2 linked regions of the Arabidopsis thaliana genome follow. The protein of the gene in region 1 purifies or fractionates together with the protein of each later gene. This does not show direct contact. Each region holds a gene or a part of one and is shown in the gene's direction. Other genes may lie near its edges.

Region 1 (4,049 bases):
AAGTGAAATTGAGGAAAACCCCCAAAAATCTAAACACTCAAAATCCAGATAAAAACTAAATCAATCATCTGAAACTAAATTATTTTGGTCCTCTGTTCTTGAAACAGAGATGGGTTGGATTCAAGAAACCAAATCTTGATAACACAAGATTCTTATTTAAATGGCATTTTTGAGAAAAACCAATCACGCAGAGACCAGAAAAGAACAAAGAAATTTGATGAAGGTAAGTGAAAAGCGTACCATCCTCAACCGCCGGAGACTTGTCGTCAGCGACGGCGACTAAGACGGCAACGGAGACACTGAGCAGAAACAAGAAAATGGAACTCCATTTGCATCTATTGTTGCTCGGAACCATATCTCTCCTCTACTTCTTCTTCGTCTTCCTCAAGATATCTAAATGCTCTCTTTATCTCTCTTCTCTCTCTCTGTAAGTGTGAAATGTGAAAGTGTCTTTCTGTATGTTCTTTTCGGGCAGCGAGCAAAGACAGGGAAGGTTAGTGTCCTTTTATCCAAGATTCCTCACTCCTTGTCTTTTTTTTTCTTCTTTTTTTTTAACTCTCAACATTTAATTTCCACTATATTTAAAGCTCTTTACAGACAAAACTCCATGCACGCATAACAAAAAAAAAGTAAAAGAAATGTTTCTACTGTAACATAGTATTTAATTGTTCTAATTAGTAGAGCCACGATGGAATAAGTTTTAGTATTGACCTAGGTTCTCTCTTTTTTTTTCCCTCTCATTGGATCTGTGCTAGATGCGAGACTAAAGTGGCAACTTTACTTTTGATCCAACTCTATTTCTTTTAGGCTGTGGAGTGAATTATTAGTTTGACAACAACAAAAATGTCTTTGTAAAATCTTCGGCTTTTCACTATTATAGATTTGAAAAAATGTTGTTTAATACGTGAACTTTCAAAATTGGCCATTTAATACGTGAACTTTATATATGGCAAATTAATACATACAAAAATCGTTGACTGACAATTTTACATAAACTTAATCGTTGATCAAGCCAAAATCTACACGACGTTATCTGACATTAACAGACCGATAACAGTCGTTAACTAATCTTCGTTAGTTTCTAATACGACGTTGTTTCGAGTATCGCGAAAACGGAAAATGCCATTTAATACTCCAATTTTCAAATTGTGGTCATTTTATATATCAACTTCACATGTGGCCATTTTATATATGAACTAAACGTTGACCAATAGTTTAAAATATGAGAATGCGTTGATTAGACCAAAAAGACATACCGCTATCTAGACCTAGATATTCAGATTTTTGTTTGGATTCGGTTTGGATTTATTCAAATACCTAGGCCTAGATAGCGGTATGTCTCTTTGGCCTGGTTAACACATTCTCATTTTTTAAACTGTTGGTCAACGTTTAGTTCATGTATAAAATGGCCATATGTGAAGTTGATGTATAAAATGACCATAATTTGAAAGTTGGAGTATTAAATGGCATTTTTCCCGTTTTTGCGATAATCGAAATGACGTCGTATTGGAAACTAACAGAGATTAGTTAACGGCTGTTATCGGTCTGTTAATGTCAGATAACGTCGTGTAGATTTTGGCCTGATCAACGATTAAGTTTGTGTAAAATGGCCAGTCAACGATTTTTGTATGTATTAATTTACCATATATAAAGTTCACGTATTAAATGACCATTTTTTTAAAGTTCACGTATTAAACGACATTTTTCCCGTTATAGATTGAGGTATAAAGGGACGAAAAGTAAAAATTTGTGTTTATGAGAGTTATGTTCAGTGTTGATATGATCAGTGAACTAGAAGATATTACGTCACCAAGTGATAAATAGTGTTTTTCTTTTGTATGTAACTAAAACTAGGCTTGATAATAGAAGAAAAGCATATTGGGCCGTTAAAAAGTCCAAGTTAATACGGTTTTGGGCCTTACTAAAACACGGGGGCTTTAACGGAGTTTTGTTACTGCTCCTTGGTGGATCTGCGAGTTTTCAATAAACCACCGGAGTGAGGAAGAAGCAGACGACGACGACGAAGATGAGTTCATCGACTGTTCGTGATTTGCAGAGAGACCTAGAAAACAAGGCTAATGATCTCGGCAAAATCCAGAAAGGCAAGTTTCGTAGATTCTCGTAACTTTTCTCGATTTGATTCTTTTCTTGTTTCTGGAGGCGGGAAACCCTACTTTTCTGTGTTCATATTTTCAGATATCGGGAAGAATCATCAGCTGAGAAAGAAGTATACGATCCAACTCGGTGAGAATGAGCTCGTGCTTAAGGTATATGTTCATGTCTCACTGTTTAATCTGAGTTTTGTGGCTACTTCAACTGAAAAGAGAAGTTTATTTCGATTGTTGATTGGCTTTAATCTTTTTATGTGTCTGTCTTGTATCTACAGGAGTTAGATTTGCTGGAAGAAGATGCTAACGTCTACAAATTGATTGGTCCGGTGTTAGTGAAGCAGGATTTGGCTGAAGCTAATGCAAATGTTCGTAAACGAATTGAGTACATCTCTGCTGAATTGTGAGTTTCTTTTCTTTTAATGTGATTGAAGCAAATGCAGTTCGTTGAGAAACCTATTTTGGGATTGTTATTGTAAATAAAGAACCTTTCTTTCTTTCTAGGCTAATAGTGAGTGATTGCTGTTCATAAGTAGCTAAAATGTTTTCACTTCTAGCTATGTAACAACTATGAGAGATGTTGATAAAGTGTTTGAGCTATAGTGTTGTGACCTCAAGAATATTGTTGTATCCTTTGCAGGAAACGGCTTGATGCAATTCTTCAAGATATGGAAGAAAAACAAAACAACAAGAGAGAAACGGTAAGACATCTGCCTCTCATGCATTTATATACTTCTTTGAGTGCATTGAATTAGTGATACTAGGACTGCTACACCAATAATAGTCCAAACATTGATGCTCAGTATACTAAGCTCTAAAAAGATACTTTGGTAGCTATTGTTGTCAGTTTAAGCCTGCCCGGAAAGTAAATACTTGAACTTTGTTATCTCCTCTGTCTCGTTGAGTGGCCTACTGGCCTTGGCGCAATATGAGGATTTGCTGTTTCTGCACTTTCTTGGCTTTTAAATGGTGATAATGATCCTATGGTTTCAATTTATGGAATCAAAATATTTGCAGATAATGAAGTTACAACAAAGGCTACAAACTATCCAGGCAGGAAAAGCAAAGGCTTGATTGAGCTACTCAGTTGCAACCACACTTGTTAAACCCTTTCCACTGTGCTCGGCCTTGTCTCAATGGTGTCATATTCAGTTACTGAGGGTTCTTGTGGTTTCAGTTTATTGGGTGATTGATGTCTCTTTGTGTCACTAATCTTTTTTTGTTGACAACTAGACTTAAGTGTGTAACTTATACATGATCTTGTCGCCCTTTATGAAGTTATGAGTTTGGAGATTTACAAAAAAATATTGTGTGTGTGCGCCTAATTTGGTCTTCATACATACTTCAAGTCGATTATGTTCTATGCAACACCTTGCAGATTACAAAGAGCTAAGATGACCAAATGATCTCAAATTTAAAGGTTTATTAGTCATATCAGAATGATCTTATCTTGCAGTGTAAATGGTATGTATAAAAAACTAAAACCATAATTCATCTCCATGTCAATTGTGTCTGATTACATTTTGCCAAGTGAGAGCTTAACGAAAAGAGAGAATATTAGTCTCAAGAAACCTACTACTACAAGCAAAAACTTTTACGAGTTAAGTTATAATTTGGATGCAGAAGCTTATCTTACATTGAAAGTTATGACTTTTTTTCCTCAACGAACTAACTTCTTCTCCAATTGGCAGTGTACTATACATCACTTTCTCCATACCCTCTCTTAAGTTTGTGTATGTGTGTGTGTGTGTGTATTGTCTGGAGTAGTCTTCAAAACTAAGCCTTCAGGTGTTTCTTCTTATTGGTAATGGATGAGCTTCAGTGTTGAAAACAAACTTATCCAATGGTATCACTGAGTCATCTCCAAAGAGCAAGTATAAGTACTTCAATGTTTCACCAAGGAAAAATGTCTCCATCTTATCTCTTCTATGAGGAGGCACT
Region 2 (3,772 bases), on another chromosome or scaffold:
AACAAATGAATCAAGTTTTGTGCGTGTTTGTTTGAAGTGAAACATATGCCTAATAGCATATATAGCTAATCCAATTTGGCAATCCGACTTGCTAGCATAAACTTTTCCTTTATATACATCTTCACCGTCAGCCCTATCTATATCCGGCATTATGGCAGCTTCATACTCCGTGTCATCAAACAGAGGAGGAATATCAAACTCTTCATCGTCCACATCCGACAGCTTCCTATTTTCTCTTGCAGTTTCATTTGTATTACAATCACCTGTTCTATTGTTAACAACTTTTCCCGTTCCACTGCTGTTTGCAAGTAAATCAGTTGGATGCTTAATCGAAGACGTTATCAAATCATCAATTTCCATGTTCGAACCTGCACCTTCCACACTGGCCACCAATTCTGTGTCTACTGTTGGTGACGCAAATCCCATTCTAACATCAGCATCTTCTTCCCCGACACATATTATATCCAATGCATTTGAGCCACCCATGTCCTCATCCAAGAATGGGCTCCAAAACTCCACATCATAAGATTGGGGTTTTACTTCTATAATCTCATCCCAAGTAAGATCTTCGCTTCCTTCATCCACTAGATCTTCATCATCAAGATCTTCAGATAAAATTTCACTAACAAGAGGACCTCGTTCACAACCTATAACTCTTTCTATAGTTTCAAGTTCTGCAACAAATTCTTCATCTTCGGAGGACAGCAAAAATTCTTTCAACCCGACCTTCGATATACTATCTTCTGATCCACATAAACGTTTCGACTTATTCCCTCTTCCGTCATCTTCCTTAACTGAACTGGTCTTCACTAGCCCACCGTCAACCTCAGAATTGTTTAAAACTCTTTTACAAGATGTTCCAAACTTTACAAACATGTTGGTTCCAACATTTGCTTCCAATATCTTCATAAAATAACTTAGCCCCACATCAGTCGTCACGACGACCGGTGGTGTTTTATCTCCGGTGGTAAAATCTCTTATATTTGGGGTACAGAAGCTTAAATCAACCTTCGTACTCGTTGAAATTCCAAATTCTACTCTAATGGCTTCCACGAATTCTGATAGCTTAATACCTTTATATACAGGCACAATTCGAGATTTCATTACCTTATTAACCTCAACATACCACTTCTCATCCTCCTCGCAATTCCAATCCCCGCATATTACATAACAGAAGCCATCCTCAGTTCCCTGCAATATATAAATTTTTTATCTTAGACAGTCAATAATATATCAGCGAATATTTTCTACTATTGTTACCAATCCATTTTTTCTTACCATCGTTATGATATCTTTGTTAGTTGCTTCAAACTTCAGAGCTTCTCTTTCTTTTGTTCATCGTCATTCAAACTTCGATGACATAGTTATTCGTTCCATGCTTTCTCCGGTTTGCAAAAACAAAATAAACCGGTTTCCCCAAACTCTTACCCTAAATAACCGATTTTACTTGATTTAATTAATAGGGTCAATTAAGTCTTTTTCCCCCTTATAATTGATCACCCTTATAATTGATCAGAAGTGTGCCTGTCGGCAAAACTTTTGCTCAACATGTTTTCGAAAGTGTATGATAATGCAAATCACCCTTAAAATATAATATGGTAAAATAATTTGGTGGTGTTAGCTGAATTGGTTACGATACAAACAATGGTTTGGGTGGTTGATTATACAAGAAAAAAAAGACAATGACTTTGAGTCTTTGATTTACAAAATCATGGTACAATCTAAAACCAAATGGGTAAATTAAATTGTGTTATTGGGTAGAATTGTTTGTTCCAATGCAAACACATATTTTTTTAAAAGTATAAAATCATCGTTAATTATAAATGGGCCGATTTGACCCAATAAAGCCTTGATAAACCGGGCTAAGCCGTCTGAAACCCGACCCGGGTAGTTCTAACTTTTTGACCCTAAAACGAAAGACCCTTCTCTAGCACGTCGGGGTTCGTTCAAAGATCAAGATCTGCAGACATGGCGGACGAAGCAACCAGAGCTGTGAGTACCTCTCTCTCTCTTAAATCAGCTCAATTTTCTAGTGGAATATTCTTCTTTCCCCAGTAAGATGTTGCAGAAAATGGAATTGTAATGTGTATAGTTACAACAGGCTTTTATGGAGATTCAAGCTAGCATGATTGAACTCACTGGGAAGCTCAAACAGGTGAATCCTCACTTTCTTTGTATTTATCAAGTTTTAGAATCAAACGTGACACATTGTATAAGGGTTTACTTGTAATTTGTTAGTTCTTGAACTGTGTTTGGTTTTATAATCCCTTCTTTCATGTTGTGTAATGACAAAATTGGCTTTCCTAGGTTATTGTCATGTGGTGCTGAAAAACTGAAATGTGAATGTGGATGGGTTTTATATATAGGTGCAGAATCAGATGCGCAACAAAGAGGGAGATAGAAAGCGAGCTTTCTTAACCTTGGAGGAGCTGAGGCCATTGCCTGAAGAGACAAACACCTACAAGTCAATAGGCAAGTGATTCAATTCTCTGGTTTTGAGACAAGGACTAGTAAAGTTTTGGTCTAATTTGTGTTTTATTCTTGTTTTCAGGAAGAACGTGAGTGGTGGTTATTAGTCAGTCCAACTAGAGGCCTTTAGAGAATTTTGAAGGCTGATTATAGTTTGTATGGTGAACAGGTTTGTTCTAGAGCCCAAGACAGTGCTGGAGGGTGAACAAGAGCAAAAACTCAAGGACAGTGAAGCTGCCGTTGCTTCTCTACAGGTAACAATCATTCCCTCTTTCAACATCTTATTGGGTTATTAGGAGATCATTGAGATGCTGGTTATCAAACATGTTTTGTTTTCGGGATGATTTTTAGACATCCAAGGAATACTTGGAGAAGCAGGTAGCAGAGGTTGAGAACAACTTGAGGGAGCTGTTGCAGCAAGAACCGGGCATTGCTCAACAGATTATGTCCATGTCTATGTAACTTTTGTATTATCCCAAACCTTTGAGTTTGGAGAGCTTTTGGGATTGAAACCATAACATGTTCTAGTTAAAAGTTGTAACATTCAAAAGTTTTTGTTCGATCAGTATTGTTTTAAAGCCTCTGGTCTATGATATTGCAAAAAACTGAGATTTCTTATGCGACAACAAATGCATGATCTATCTAACTCGAAAACAAAAATTTTAACAAGGATGAGGTCTCTCTATGATTCTTCGGAGAGAAAACTCAATCCTTGTTCCACCGTTCGGTATGCTTACCGGCTTTCGTTGTCCGGATGAGAAGACTTTGTTTCCGGTGTGGTCTGGCTCTGTTTTCGGTGTGATTCGGCTCATATTTCGGGTATTTGTTGCTAAAATGGAATTCGCTTTGTTTCTTGAGGGAAGATTAGGATAAGTCGATTGAATAATTTTCCGGCGATCTTGGCCGGAATTGAAGCTTTCTGATCAACGGAGACTCTCACATCTTCAACTTTGCATGTGTCTTCTAACCTGCTTCCTGCTTGCCACATGTCTAATATAATGCATTTAAGCTTTTCCTTCAGCTTTCTTATTGGACTTTGTTTTCTTTTGTTTGGCTTCCTTGGTTTAGTGTTTGTAAAATATTGGCATGTTACTTTGGCTTTCTATACTAAATAAAACACACTTTTGACAAAAAAAAAAAAAAAAAAAGACTACAACTCGAGATTGCATCTAACATTGTGAATATATATAAATTTAACCTCACAATCTAAACACAAGTAGATGTAATATATATTATGAATTCAGTGAAACAATAGTTAAAACTCAAGTTGATCAATCATCAATAGCATGTGAGCAATAAGTGT

Evidence for each region. The genes of interacting proteins can lie anywhere in the genome.
Region 2: the proteins of PFD6 (region 1) and PFD1 fractionate together in Arabidopsis thaliana (co-fractionation; one large-scale study listed by BioGRID). This does not show direct contact.

The regions. Positions count from the first base shown.
Region 1 is NC_003070.9:10,505,640-10,509,688, forward strand, and holds PFD6 (prefoldin 6), read left to right. Parts: upstream 1-1,893; 5' UTR 1,894-2,026; coding exon 2,027-2,102; intron 2,103-2,196; coding exon 2,197-2,267; intron 2,268-2,386; coding exon 2,387-2,511; intron 2,512-2,748; coding exon 2,749-2,809; intron 2,810-3,125; coding exon 3,126-3,182; 3' UTR 3,183-3,512; downstream 3,513-4,049. Other genes in the region: AT1G29980 (choice-of-anchor C domain protein, putative (Protein of unknown function, DUF642)), read right to left, coding at 241-355; MNS3 (alpha-mannosidase 3), read right to left, coding at 3,893-4,049. UniProt on the Arabidopsis thaliana protein: Binds specifically to cytosolic chaperonin (c-CPN) and transfers target proteins to it. Binds to nascent polypeptide chain and promotes folding in an environment in which there are many competing pathways for nonnative proteins.
Region 2 is NC_003071.7:3,043,676-3,047,447, forward strand, and holds PFD1 (PREFOLDIN 1), read left to right. Parts: upstream 1-1,847; 5' UTR 1,848-1,968; coding exon 1,969-1,992; intron 1,993-2,101; coding exon 2,102-2,155; intron 2,156-2,366; coding exon 2,367-2,472; coding exon of another isoform or gene 2,473-2,476; intron 2,477-2,551; coding exon 2,552-2,558; intron 2,559-2,638; coding exon 2,639-2,723; intron 2,724-2,820; coding exon 2,821-2,931; 3' UTR 2,932-3,229; downstream 3,230-3,772. UniProt on the Arabidopsis thaliana protein: Binds specifically to cytosolic chaperonin (c-CPN) and transfers target proteins to it. Binds to nascent polypeptide chain and promotes folding in an environment in which there are many competing pathways for nonnative proteins.